Linked DNA regions of Pelodiscus sinensis. The protein of the gene in region 1 purifies or fractionates together with the protein of each later gene. This does not show direct contact. Links are inferred from orthologs where the notes say so. Each region holds a gene or a part of one and is shown on either strand. Other genes may lie near its edges.

Evidence for each region. The genes of interacting proteins can lie anywhere in the genome.
Region 2: the proteins of DCP1A (region 1) and PNRC1 purify together in Homo sapiens (affinity purification with mass spectrometry; 3 studies listed by BioGRID and IntAct, with this or other methods). This does not show direct contact. The link is inferred for Pelodiscus sinensis from reciprocal best matches to the Homo sapiens genes DCP1A and PNRC1.

Annotation. Positions count from the first base shown.
Region 1 is NC_134721.1:30,782,057-30,789,504, forward strand, and holds the start of DCP1A (mRNA-decapping enzyme 1A), read left to right. Parts: upstream 1-4,441; 5' UTR 4,442-4,477; coding exon 4,478-4,612; intron 4,613-6,155; coding exon 6,156-6,196; intron 6,197-7,448. UniProt on the Homo sapiens protein: Necessary for the degradation of mRNAs, both in normal mRNA turnover and in nonsense-mediated mRNA decay. Removes the 7-methyl guanine cap structure from mRNA molecules, yielding a 5'-phosphorylated mRNA fragment and 7m-GDP.
Region 2 is NC_134713.1:63,879,042-63,886,386, reverse strand, and holds PNRC1 (proline-rich nuclear receptor coactivator 1), read right to left. Parts: upstream 2,684-7,345; 5' UTR 2,528-2,683; coding exon 2,114-2,527; intron 1,620-2,113; coding exon 1,179-1,619; 3' UTR 570-1,178; downstream 1-569. Other genes in the region: BLOC-1-related complex subunit 6-like, read left to right, coding at 3,107-3,706. UniProt on the Homo sapiens protein: Nuclear receptor coactivator. May play a role in signal transduction.

The DNA of each region.
Region 1 (7,448 bases):
CTGTTTACTTCTGTGTGCTTCAGGGCAGAGGAAGATGAGAGCCTTCACTCATTATTCATACATTTCTGATATAAAATATCACACAATGAGGCACGAGCAGTGAACAAGGGCAAGGAGAACAAACCCACTTGAGTGTTGAACTGGGGTAAAAGATGATGGAGGACAACAATCCACGAACCAAAACTCCCACTTGATTCTATTATCAGTGCTCTTCATGTTTCACTTTTAATTCAAGATGCAGTAAAGAAGATCTGGCATTGCAGAAGGCTGCACTTTGTCAAGATCTTCTCATTGCATTACAGGCAGTCCCCGGGTTACGTACAAGATAGGGACTGTAGGTTTGTTCTTAAGTTGAATCTGTATGTAAGTCGGAACTGGCATCCAGATTCAGTCGCTGCTGAAACTGACCAGCGGCTGACTACAGGAAGCCCGAGGCAGAGTTGCTCTGCCCTGGGCTTCCTGGAATCAGCCGCTGATCAGTTTCAATAGCGGCTGAATCTGGATGCCTGGGACAGAGCAGCTGGGGCACTGCCGGGTAGGTCCCCGCAGTGCCGCACCTCAGCGCTGCGGGGACCAACCTGGCAGCACCCCAGCTGCTCTACCCCAGGTGTCCCCAAGTCAGCCGCTGTTGAAACTGATCAGCAGCTGATTCCAGGAAGCCCAGGGCAGAGCAACTCTGCCTCGGGCTTCCTGTAGTCAGCCGCTGGTCAGTTTCAGCAGCGGCTGACTTGGGGACGCCTGGGGCAGAGCAGCTGGGGTGCTGCCGGGTTGGTCCAGTAGCGCCCCTCCTCGGCGCTACTGGACCAACCCAGCAGCACCCCAGCTGCTCTGCCCCAGGCGTCCTGATTCAGCTGCTGCTGAAACTGACCAGCAGCGGCTGAATCAGGACGCCTGGGGCAGAGCAGCTGGGGTGCTGGCGGGTTGGTCCAGTAGCGCCGAGGAGCGGCGCTGCGGGACCAACCGGGCAGCACCCCAGCTGCTCTACCCCAGGCATCGCGAGAAAAGCCTGGTCTGCTGGGGGGGGGGTGCGCACTAGCTGCGTCCCCCTCCCCCCAGCAGACCAGGGAGACGCGGGCGGCGGGACCACCGAGACGCGCCGCGGTCCCACCCACATCCTCCACGGCTTTGCTCCGCGTCTCTCTGGTCTGCTGGGGGGGCCCCCCCCCAGCAGACCAGGGAGATGCGGAGCAAAGCCGCGGAGGACCCGGGCAGCGGGACCGCGGCGCGTCTGGGCGGTCCCGCCGCACACGTCCTCCGAGGCTTTGCTCCGCATCTCCCTGGTCTGCTGGGGGCACTTCCCCAGCAGACCAGGGAGACGCGGAGCAGCTTTTCTCGCCCTGGAGGACGCGGGCGGCGGGACCGCAGCGCATCTGGGCGGTCCCGCCGCCCGCGTCCTCCGAGGCGAGAAAAGCCCCGTTTGTAACTACGGATCCGACATAAGTCGGATCCACGTAAGTCGGGGACTGCCTGTAGTTTGAAAGCAAGGTTTGCTTTAGACCACGCTTGTCCAAGCTTGACATGAAGACAAGGGTCATCCTATTTGTTGCAGTGCTTAGAATCATCACTGAGATCCATACTTCAAAAGGATTTTGAATCTGTGTACACATTTTCTAGGCACCCTTTTTGTTTAAAATAATTTTCAAATAATTTGTGTCTTCTCTTTTTAGTACCTGTTTTCCCCTATTAATATTGGACAGAATAGTACTCAGTCACTTTAACTCACAATATATAGCATTTTTGCTCATTATAGATGCCATTTCTTGCCTTTGGAAGCCCCCGTTAAAGTTAACACAGTTGGGGCACGTCTACACAACAGGGCTAATGCCGAAAGAAGCTACACAATTTGAGCTACATCAATTGCATATCTTAAGTCGAAATAGTGCTGCTATGTAGACATGGCTTGGTGTTAGAGTGTACCGGATAAACAGAGCCCTGAGTAAAGAACAATGTGGAATAATAGTGCCCCAGGCAGGGATTGCTTGAGGTGAGATTGTGTCCTGGGAAGGCACAATCCTACCTTCAGTTTCTGTATCCACAGGCGGTGTGTAGACCCTCCTTTAATATTTGACAGGTTCATCCATTAAGATGCATGAGCCTGTTCTTCTGGTGCAGCCAGCCCACTCAGCAGGCTCTTTGAAGCAATGTAAAACTTCTGGGGTACCTGGCAAATAAGTTTCTCATTCTATTAAGAGTATGCAAGGTTTGAGAAGGTTCATCCATTCTGTGTATCATCAGTACATGTGCACTTTACAGTCTGGCCCCCAATGGGAATCATGCAAGAATAGTGAAAAGCAGAATTTGGTACAAGTTTGTACACCTGCCTCACAAATTGTATCAACAGAACTCTGGCAATATTGTTTGCTAGCTGTGAGACAGATAGCCTAAGAACGTCGTACGGTTCACCTTGTGAACTTTTCAATACTGCATCTCTCAAGTTTTGGGGATCAAGAAAGAGGCAAGACTTTGCACATTCCTTGTAAAGAAACAGGATTTCATCAAAACAAATACCATTCTCCATTGTCAGTTTCTACACTCAGCTACAATAACTGGCAAGGCTCCAAACTTTGACTAGCCACATGGTCAAAACCACCATGATGGTTTTTCACCTAATAAAGCCCATTCCCTTAGAACAAATTAAATGCAATCTCCTCCTCCCAAAAAGTGAGGTTTTCAAATCATGTTATGAATATTTTGCACAGTTCCCTGCATATAAGGCTGAATACATTATAAAGTTTGCAAGACATTCAGATGCTAATGTAATGGGAGCCATGTAAATACCTAAGATAAGCACATTTGGAGTTCTGGCTACTGTCAGAGACATAATATTGGACTAGTTGAACCACTGGTCTAATTCAGTAAGGTTATCTCAATAAACAGTAATATCTATCAAGCCCAGCTCTAATCAAAGCAAATAAACTGAGGCTCCACTTCTACATGCGTTAGATGCATTACCCACATATGTCAATGATTAATGTTGTTATAGCCCTCTTGATGCCGGGTTGCTAATCTTCCCAACTGGACAGACCAAACACTATTCACAGCAATGGTTTCTGGTCTGTCCAGTCCCTGAGAGTTGGCAACCCTATCCCAGGATATTTGGAACAAAGTTGGTGAGATATCTTTTATTGGACCAACTTCAGTTGGTGAGAGTCACACTTTCCCGCTGCACAGAGCTCGTCATTGTATTTTTCCCAGACCTGATGAAGAGCTCTGTGTAGCTTAAAACCTTGTCCCTCTCACCATCAGAGGTTGATTGAATACAAGAAATTACATCACCTACATTGACTCTTTAATGACTAATGTAACTTTTATAAAGCATTTATAGTTTAACAACCTTTACCTTACCAGGTTGCAGAGAGTCTGATGAGTTTGTTTCTGTACACATGGATAATCCAGATGTCAAAAGACTGACCCAAACAGTGACATGTGAATCTCCCCACTAGACCAGTAGCTCAAGGGAAACAAGCTTAGGGACAGAATAGGAAGGCAAGGCACAAAGGCTCATGCTGTAAGTGCCTGTTGCCTTACTTTGTCCCCTCACATAATTGACAAGGCCTTAAGGCAGCCATCAACTCCTCCTTCACCCTAGCAGATTCATCTTGACTAGGCATCATTACCAAGTGCTAAAGCCATCCTGGTAAGCAAGAAGAATCCCTGTACAGTTCCTGCAGGCCTGTGCTGAGAGACTTTAGTTGGAGCTGGAGCTAGCACACAGGAAATCTGAAATACAACCTCATACAATCATTTTCTTTTGAATGCCACTGTGTTGTCAATAGTTCCTTGTTTGGAGCTGGTGAATCCCAGCCAAAGGGTCGAAGACATGGCTAGGAGTCTGTGCAAAGATGTGGGGTAGCCAGGTCCAAGAGAGGCCCCTCACGCCTTCAGGCTCACATATCTACTGGAATGGAGCGTACAGCCTCAGGGATTCATGCCAACGGTGGGACTCTGTTGGCCCAAGCATGGAGGAATCCTTGAGGCTGTGGTGGCAACGTCCTGCATTGCTCCTGGGAGAGGTCAGTATTGTACATGCTGCTGGTTCTGGCGTCTGGGGACGGTATCAGTCTCTCCCAGGTTGTCTCCAATGGATTAAACCCTGTTACCTAACATGGGACTTTGCAGCAAGTGCAGACAGGGCACTAAGGGCACAAATCCTCCGGCTGCCCAGCTGGGGGCGGCTCGTTGCTCGGGAGGCCTGAGCCTCACCTACTCCCCTTCAGGACTACGCCCAGGGCGATGCCTTTCCGAGGGGCCGGGGTCCCCCGGCACAGTCCCTTCTTGGGAGCTGCGGGCGGGAGGTAACCGACTCCCCGACCGCTACCCGGGCAGCCGCAGCCAGAACCCAGGGCGCAGCGGCAGCAGGGCGGAACGGACGGCGCGGAGGCCGCCGTGCCCGGGCGAGAACACGGAAGGCTGCACACGTGACGCCGTGGTCCTCGCTCCCTTCCCCCACCCCCTCCGGTTCCTCCCGGGATCCAAGATGGAGTCGCTGAGTAAAGCGGGGCAGGAGATGAGCCTGGCGGTCTTAAAGCGGAACGATCCCTACATCACCAGCATCGCCGACGTGACCGGCCAGGTCGCGCTCTACAGCTTCAGCCCCAAAGCCAACGAGTGGGTAAGTGGGGAGCCGGGGCCTGCTGCCTTCCCCCAGGAGCGCTGCAGACCCTTCCCCCGGGCCGAGAGGAGAGACACCGACACCCCCACACGCCCTCCCAGGGGAGGAGAGCTGGGCCCAGGCCCTCCCCCCATTTCCGGGGATAGACCCCGACACGCTCGCTCCCCATCCCCAGCGCGCAGAGGCAGCCACTGTCCCCTTAACGAGAGAAACCAAAACTCCCCGCAGCAGTGGGGAGTGGCAGCCCCAGAACCGCCCCCCCCCACCTATACACACACTGGGACGGGAGGCCCCCAGGGGTTAGGCCGTTCAGCTTGTGGGACTGTGCTTTGCGGGGTAAGGGCCGTGACTCTTGACAAGTTTGAAATTTTCACACTTTTCCCTCTCCCAAGCATCTCGGACTGTTCTTAGTTTGAGGAGACAATTTAAATCCGACGCCAGAAATTAATAGAGTTATTTGAGCAAAAGCTTTGTGGCAACGAAACACTTTGTCAGATATATATGACCAAGTGGGATTTTGCCCATGAAAGCGTATGCCCAAACAAGACCTCTCGTTTTGGTGGACAGAACTAACATAGCTACCCCACTGATTTTTATCATTGAAGCAGATAGAGTAGTTTTGCCTAACATGCTTTATACGCTCAATTGTGTTTGTTTGCAGGGTTTTTTCGGTTTGTATTTGTGTGTGTATCTATGTACCTTTCTAGTTGTCACTTTCCACCTGCTGATAATTTTGAAGTTCAAAAAGTATGGGATTTTAGAAATATTGGTACTGACTGCTCTTCTGAAATAAAATTTCCGATTAATTTCAAGAATATCTTTCTTTTTCTACAGTTTTGAAAATAAAGACCATCAATATACACTACATTTCTAAAAAAAAAAAAGTTAATATGAATGTAAAGAGGTTTTAAAACATCTTGTCAGACACAGAGGTTTGCAGTTACATGCGAGGTCTCTGAGATCTTATTCCTGCAAAAACTTAAGTAATGTGAATAGTCCAGTTGAACCCAAAGTTATTTTGCAGGTGGTAAATCATGTGGCTTTTTTCTTTTTAGCTAAGTTTTAATATATAAAACAAGATATCAGTGCATAGCATGAAATTAAAATATAGATAGCTGTGTGTTCAATTTATAGCTATTGTAGCTATTGTCCAAAAAAACTCATTGTAATTTGTCATTGCAAGATACTTTTAAAATTTTTTTTTGCAAAGTAAAATTTTATTACTATACATGAATATGAGGTTACTACAGAGAATATATTTGTTTGACTTTTCTAGTGAAGCTGGTTAGGAGAAGAAAGTGATGAGAAATGTATAATTTCTCTAAAAAAATGAATAATGTTATTATCAACAAGATAGCATGTATAATTTTATATATTTGCCTTAAGTTAGCAATTCATTGAAAATATGAGATTAAATCTGAGTTTTATGATGTCACGCATCTTTGAAAAGTACTAAAAAAGTTATTTTTTTGTTAGAATGCAAGCTGCCTAACTGTATGAATAACCATATCACTAAAATAGATGTAATTGCTGTCTCTTGTAGGAGAAGACTGACATAGAAGGTACCTTATTTGTGTATAGAAGGTAAGTCATACAAAAATGCTTTAATATGTAACTATTAAATTTAGACTTTATCAAAGTTGGCTTTTTAACTAATTCTGATATTTGACCAGAAATTCACATCCAACTTCATGTTTTAAAATGAAATTTAGCACCTAGACATATAACTCTTCAGAAAGTGCACACACAACATTTTAGTAACAGTCTTGAAGAAAATAAATGAATAAAATGAAGAGAATCATAGAAATTAAAAAATTGTAATTAGGTTATTTTATTAATTTTGGTAACTGATTTCCTAATATATTCCTGAGTGCTTTTAATGATAGGAATTAGGGATGTAAGCAACTAGTCGACCAGTGACTCGACTAGTCGCTTTCCCTCCTCCGCCCTTCTGCCTCTATCAGAGAGAAGCAGCAAGAGGGCTGGGAGCAGGAGTTGGCATTGGGGGAGCTAACTTAAAAGCCGGTTCACCCCTAGCACCATCTCCTGGGGGAGGCAGAGGCATAGTGGGGGACCGGGCATGAGCTGGTAAGCAGCTAATTCCTGGCTTGTGTCCTGTACCCCCCCCCCCCCCCCCCCGCGCGCGCTTTAACTTTTTAAGTGTATTACGAGCCTGGCAGGTCTTCATAAATTTAAAAAGCAGAGCCACAGGGGGGTTAGCTCCCACTGTGGCTCTGCAGTTTTCCCCCATTATCAACTAATCGACTAGTCGATTAACTGATTAAATGCAATTTAACATCGCCAATAGGCAGGGCTCGACGAACCACGGCAAGATCTACTCGCCAGCCCCACACCCTGCAAGCGCCAGACCAGCACTGCACATGCGCACAGCACCGGTGAACAGGGCGACCGGCTGAAATCTATTCGCCACAGGCGAGTAGATATAGCGATTTGTCGAGCCCTGCCAATAGGGATGTAATGCTATAGTAAATTAACCAATAAGTAAAAGCTTGTAGGTTAATGCTGTAGACCAGTATTTCTCAACCAGTGGTCTGAGTACCCTTAGGGGTACTCAAGAGAAGTTGGGGGGGTATATCAACACAACTGAAATTTGGAGAAAACTGAATTTTTGTTTCAAGTTTTACAGTGCTTTATTATTTTTGTACTTTTTTCATCCAAAAATTTCATTGCCCACCCAGCTACGATTAAGTTGTTTAAACAAATGTGTTGCAGTGGTAGAAAAAAAATGTGTGTGCTTGAAAACTGTAGGTACTGGGGGTACTTATAATTTTTTTTTAAAAGGGGTACTTTATTTTTAAAAAAGGTTGAGAAACAC
Region 2 (7,345 bases), on another chromosome or scaffold:
GCAGCACCCCGGCAACCCAGCATTAGCTGGGGACTCTCCAGCTGACCTCGGCCTCAGTGCAGCACTGACTCAAATACCCCCCCCTTTTCTCTCCCTCCCTTGCTGCCTCTGATAGAGGTAGCAGGGGGCGGGGGAAAACAGTGACTGGTCGAGTATCCTGTCACCTAGTCCTTTACATGTCTACTATAAACTGGGACAAATTTAGTTTTCCCATCTTAACTGGTTTGAGATAGCTGTCACCTACAAACCATTGTTAGCACCATCCTGTCCTCACACCAGTCGTCTTTAATTCTAGCTAATTTTAATGACTGTTCTTACTATATAAATTGTAACAATTTTGGTTTGAGTGCTGCATTCTTGTTATGATACTCAAACTTAACTGAGGGAAATTTTAAAAACAACATCCATCAAAACTTTCAATAAACCACTATTGCTGATTGAGTAGGATTTAATTTGGTATGAGTAAGAAACTGGAATGAGGGTTAATAGAGCTTGAAATGTTGTTTCAAAACTAATGAAAGCTTAAAAAAAATCTAGGTACAATACACTCACGCAAGAGACAGACATGCTTGAGGGGAGGCCAAATTATTTTATTTATTTTTTGTTAAAGTAACCAATTATATTTATGGCAAAAAGCTCTGCTCATCTTTAGGAAGCAGTGCTCAGATTGATGGGTTTAGGTTCTTCGCTCAAATTCCAAAATTAGCTTTGTAACAAAGGGATGAACAAGAATTCCAAATATTATTTCCAGAGCAGAGAGCAACAATTCACATCTGGATGAAAACTTCATGTTTACAATAGATTGTGCCATAGACTGCAAAACTTTTCAGTAGTGCATTAAGCCTTTCACAGTTGAATCTGAACCTTGAGATTAAAAAGCATAGTTTTCTCCTTCAAAATTTCATTACCTTGTGCAAATTAGTCAAGTCTCTCCATGGGTGGAGCACACATTTAAAGCTGTCCATATTTTGGGCAGTGCAAAATACAACTTCATAAAAAAACTAAAATGTACCTCTTAAAGTATGAACAAGAATATACACATTTTACATGATTTACATTATTTACATATAAAAAATACAAAAGTTTTATTGTAGAGAAGACTTGACAGTCCTTTTATACTTCATGTTGCAACAAGGCTAATTTCAATTTCCTGGATGGAGTCCCATAAGTCTCATGAGCTATGCTTGAACTTTCAGCAGAGTTTTTAAATGGACTGCCATCAGCTCCTTATTTTGGTCAGAATATTCAACAGTGCATCCTACCCAATGACTAGGGGGCTTAGGAAGGACACTAGGAGATGGCGGGTCACTAAACTTTGCTCCAGCGTAACTTTCTTTTTGGTTCATTTCAGTTGGAGAGCCAGGTTTCTTTGATTTCATGTTTCTGAAGCTCTCTGTTGTCAGCAGCTTTTTCTCCTGTTTGTCAATGATCTCAGGTGACACAGAAAGCTGCCAAAAGTTATTTTCAGTTTTTTTCACAGGTGCGATCTTGGTTAGCGGCATGTTACCTTTGTTCTTCTGTTTGTTACTCTTGGACTGCTCACCCAGGTGTGTGCTATGAACAGGCTGGCAGTGCGGAGCGGGAGCCTTTTCAGGCTTTCCCATCTTGTTCTTCAAGAACTGCAGGAACAGACATTCAGGTAAATGCAGTACTCGGCCATCTACGCGTCCGCGTCGAAGAACCGCAGCCCAGCGCCGGAAAAACATGCCCTCCGCTTGCTCCGCATCCCCGTATCGCTCTCCCCGCCGCTGCCCCTCCACCCACTCAGCCAGACGAGGAGTCACGCGGGGCTAAATAAGTCACCGGGAGCCCCGCCCCCCTCCCCGGCCACACCCCCTCCCCCATGCCGGCGGGCGCGGCTGTAGTGACCGTGGCAGCCGGGCGCCTCCTTGGGGCGCTGCGCTCCGCACACGTCACCCCCGGGCGCGCCGCCACCAGGCTAAATCCGGCTGTTGCTGGGCGCCGCAGCCACTCTCATTGGTGGAGTCCCACAGCCAATCAGTGCGGGCTGCACCGCTCCCTGCCCCGAGAGAGCGTAACGGAAACTTCCCCTCCCCCCACGGCCGAAACCGGGGCAGGCGGGGATCCGCGGCGCGCGGACCCTCCCCCCTACCTCCTTCCTGAGGGGCTTGCTGGGCGCCGGTCGGGGAAGGGCCGATGTGGGGGGCTCCTCAGCCGGGACGAGGGGAACAGCCGCCGGTGCTGGGAGAGTGCGAACCTCGCCCGCGCCGGGGGCTGCCAGCGGGGCCCTTCTGCCCAGGCCCGCGCGGTGCTGTTGGTACTGCTGGTAGCGGCTCGGTAGCAGCCCCGAGGGGCTGGGCCGGATCTTTCCTTTTCTCCGCCTCACGCGCTTCAGTGCGGGCCGCGCGCTGCCCCCCTGCCCCGCCAGGCAGCAGCTGGCCTGGGTCTCGCAGTTGTTGTCCCCCCGCATGAGGCGTTGGAAGAGGCTGGGCGGCAGCCGTCGGGCGTCCTCGGTGCCTGCCGAGAGCCGCGCTAGGAAGGGCGGCGGCGCCGTGGTGGTGACCATGACGGGAGTCGGGTGTTCGGAGCCGCGCAGGGGGTCAGGGCGCTGGGAAGTGGCCGCGAAGCGTCCGCAGGGACTTTGTCGGCTTCGAGGGAGACGAAACCTCAGATCCGCTGCTAGGAGAACATGGCGGGGGAGTGAGAAGAGCGACGAGCAGCGCCCCAGTGTTGTTACTGGAGCGGCCCACACCCCCTTCCGCCGCCGCACCAATCAGCGCCAGCCTGGCGCGGCGAGTGACACGCCTGTCTTGGGTAAGGACCAATCCGAAGGGTTTGGGTGCGTAATAGGCCCGCCTTCGCCAATCCAGAAGGACACAAACACTGCGAGACACGCCCCCTTCATATCGCCTCCAATCAGGAGAGAAACAAACAACGAGGCACGTCCCCTACCCTCAGAACCGGGGAAGCAGAACTAGGCCAAGTTTTCACTCGGCTCGGCCGGGATGCGCGCACAACGGAACACGCCCCTTTCATACGCGCTAGCCAATCAAGAGAGGCAGAAACTTTGAGGCAGCGCACGCGCCTTATCGTCGCAACAGGTCCAGGCGGGCGGGCGCGCGCGCGCAGGGATTCGCAGGCGATTATGGCGGAGGGGCGCCGCACCGTGCCCGCGGAGATAGATGAGCGCGGGCAGCAGAGTTGCCCGGCCCGGCGGCGGCGGGCCGAGCGGAGTCTGGAGGCGCTGGGCCTCGAGTGCGGAGCGACCCTCGCTGGAGCGCGGCAGCCGGGGAATCGCAGAGCCACTATCGCCTGCGCGCCGGAGCTGGAGGGGGCCGTGCGGCGCGAGGGCCTCCTCACCCACTTCGTGGCCAGTAGCCTGCAGCGGAAGATGCATCTCGGCGCGCCCGGGGGCGCCGCCAGCCGCATCCCCCCCGTGGACCCCGCGGCGCTGCGGGACCTGGTGGCGCGGGCCGCGCAGGTGGGCGCGCAGGTGGACGAGCTGCTGCGCAGCGTGCACTGCGGCCTGCAGGCCCTGACCGCCCTGAGCGTGGGCTGCATCCACACCTACCGTGACGGCGTGGAGAGCCTGGGCGAGGCCGTGGACACCAGCATCCGAGCAATGTACACGCTGGTGGCGCGGTGCGAGGAGCTGGACCTGGCAATGCAGCCCGTGCGCACCTTGGCCAGGCGCATCAGTGACATGAAGGGCACGCTGGACCGGCTAGAGGGGCTCTGCAAATAGCCCTCGAGGTGGCCTGTAACCCCTCGGACAATGCCTCTGAGGCCCCGCCACCGAGCAGCGGCCGGGCTGTTCAAACACAACGTGCCTCATCCGACAAGTCCTCTCCAGCAGGAGGCTGATGACAAGACCCTGGATTGATACTTGAAAGTTTTGAAAGCATGTTGTACTCACCTGCCTTGATCTCCGAGGCGGGGAATGGCTTCCTCAGCTACTAAAACTTGAACTGCTATTTTTGTTGAATGTTTTCTTCTGAAATACCAATTAATAGTTCCACTAAACTTAAATAAAAATTTGCTATTTTTTTTCTGTGATTTCCATTCTAAGACTGAGGTGTTGTCAATTCTATCCTCCAGACATAACTGTTTCCAGAGGTGCCACAGTCTGTTTTCTTTCACTTTTTTCAGCACTTTTGAGATCATCTTATGCATAAAAACTGTTGCAGAATGGAACTTAGAGGGCCTTTAAGACTTCTTTTGGCTGAAGGAACAAATAGTAGATTTGGTATACTAATTCACATTTGTGGGACTAGTCAGAGATACTATTTAGCGAAGTTTAAAATTCAGTTATATACATAATTTCTATTTTAAATGAGGTCATTTTGATAGTCCCCTTACTTTCTCAGCTTCATTTTGGGGTAGTTCTAGCATATAATAGTTTACACAATACAAGACTTGAAAAATAACTAAGATTCTCATTTGGGTTAAGATGGTATGGAAAACAGGCTTTAACTGTTTCAGGGAAGAAATCAAAGTGGGAATCGAACTGGTTTTAATTAGCAACATCTTATAAAATTCTAGGACGAGGAAGGAGCAATGTGCCCGCTATTCTTTTCCACCCTGGAGTGGAATGAATTTTCTGATGCACAATACATCACCTTCATATTCATGCACATGGCAAAGTTTATGTGGTCGGGGTAGGACAAGGAGTTCTGAATGTGGGCAGAGGGTTAGGGTGCAGGAGTGTGGGCTCTGGTTGCAGGCTCCTGGGAATGGCTGGGGTTGAGGGGCTTGTGGCTATGACAGAGGGTTGGTGTATAAGGATTCTGGCTGGAGGTGTAAGCTCTGCGATGGGGCTAGGTATGAAGGGTTAGGGGTGCACAAAGGCAGGGCTCCAGGTTTGGAGAAGGGCTCTGGGATGGAGGTTGGTGTGCAGGAGGAGGTACAGGCTCTGGGATGGGGGTGTAATCTTTGGAGTAGGGCGGGGGACTTGAGGGTGTGGGGAGGCTCAAGGTGGGGCAGGAGATTTGGGACTGGGCATATTTCTAGGGGTAATTGTGCTGGTGGAAGAAGCACCTTTATGCTGAGACTTTCCACAGAGGTCTTGGCTACCTATGTAACCCACACACTTTCTGGGTGTGATGTACTTGTCCCATGCAGTGGCACTTAGAAGACCACTTATAAGAGAGAGAATGAGTATTCTACAACCTTAGTTGAGAGCTAGCTGGCTTTTAACTTAAGCTGTAGAAGCTCATGCACTAAGCTCCAGAGGTCCTAGGTTTGGTTCTACCTGCCGGCATTATACATGTAGTTATTAAAGTTTTAATTCACTTTCATAGAAAGCAGGGTTAGCCTCATCAAATTTTTCTCACTCAAACTTTATTTTCAGTAGAGAAAATAATACTTTATTTCTCTTCCTAGCTATTGGTTTGCTTTCAGTAGCACAGAATTCATGCTGGATTGCATTCCAGAGATGGAACCACTTTATAGTTCCTTGAAACTTTTTAAGCTCTTTGAGTATGTTAGAATAAGTAGTTCTATGTGAATGCAAAATAGTTTTTTATTCTGATGGATGTTACCTACAGGTGAAGTTAGCAACAAGATGAATGTTTGTGAGTAGAGCCCTGAAAATCCATAGATACATGTGGACCTTATTTGCAGATTGAATGAGGGTACAAATTTTGTATCTGTGAAGAGCTCTATTCATGAGTTCTTCTTCACTATCAAGACAAAAGATACATCTACAAGAACCAGTTTTGCTTGGACTTAGCAGTCCTGTCTGCACCTTTTCCTCTTGAATTCTCCCACTGTTACTACAGCACCAATGCAATTTCACCCTTGATAACAATGGCAGGGACATTAGTGTTGATTGACTGTTGGTGTTTTTACCACTGTGCCCTGGGCCTGCCCACACCAAGGCTGTGTCTACACTGCACCCCTTTTCCGGAAAAGGGATGCAGATTAGACCAGTCGGAATTGCAAATCCGCAGGGGATTTAAATATCCCCCGCGGCATTTGCATTTACATGGCTGCCGCTTTTTTCCGGCTTGGGGATACTTATTCAAGGAAAGTAGGAATAAGAAATCCTCCAGAAAAGGGCTTATTTTCCGGAGAATCGCGTCTAGACTGGCACTTTTCTCCGGCTTATCCCCAAACCGGAAAAAAGCAGCAGCCATGAAAATGCAAATGCCGTGGGGGATATTTAAATCCCCCGCGGATTTGCAATTCCGACTGGTCTAATCTGCATCCCTTTTCCAGAAAAGGGGTGCAGTGTAGACACAGCCCAAATGTATACAACACAAGGTAATATAGTGGCTATTGGGCACTTTCAAGGAAAAGTTCATTGCGGATAAAAAACAAATAATAAATGCATAGTGGTCATAAATATAGGGACGGCAATCTGAAGACAAACAGGAGAATACTAAAGGATAACTCTTACTTTTCTGCTGTCTTACTATGTTCCATAATCTTTTGGGGCTGCCTTGTTTCCTGATGTGGACAAATGAGGTCTGAAGTATTTCTTGAGCACAGACTGGCAGAGCAGCTTTGACTTACCACCACCATCTTATCTGCTTTGTCACATGTGCAATGGAATATCTTTGTTAATTTTTGCAGCATGGCCACAGGTCCTGTGATGCCTGATTGTAATGGATGAATTATGTCCCTGTCTCTAATTTAAATTTTAAAAAATCTCTGGAGTGGGAGGTGCTGGACTGTTGATTTCCAAGATATAAAGGTAGTGATTAAGATTATTTAAAGCAAGCTACATTTCTGTTCTTTCCACAACCAACTCTTTTTAGCTTTTTCAATATAGGCCTAAGTTGACCATTCACTTTTTAAATCCACTTGTTATATCCAGATTCCTGTCCTAGATTCATGTCCTGCTCTAATCAGCTTTCTGCTGCCACCAGGCTGACTTGCTGCCATTTGTATGCAGCATATACTAATACAGTTACTGGATAGTAAATAAGTATATTTCTTGGGTGGGTAGACAAGGATACCTTGAACTTTAGAATTGTTTTTTCTAAAATCATATTTCTAGCTAGTTCAGTTAAAGGTTCCTATTTCTCAGTTACTAAAAGAGAACCATGGAGAGCCAGATTCTGTCCTCTGGCTCATTGGGTTTGCAAAGGTCTAAGTGAGGGCAGAAAGTTGACAGGTAAAATTTCAGTACTCATTCTAATGGATTTATCATAGTCCCCACTGCATAATAAAATGTTTCATGCATGCATTTTTATATAGTGCAACTACATTTATTCAGAATGTTTTGTGAGCATAAAATCCCTTAGGAGAAAAAACAAATGGAACGGGGGGAGAGGGGAGAGAAGAGGAGGAAGGTTTGGAAAGTTGAGAGATACTGAGCATGTCATTACCATACTCCACCAGGGGATTTAACCAACAGCAAGTGTTGAACTAAAAGGTT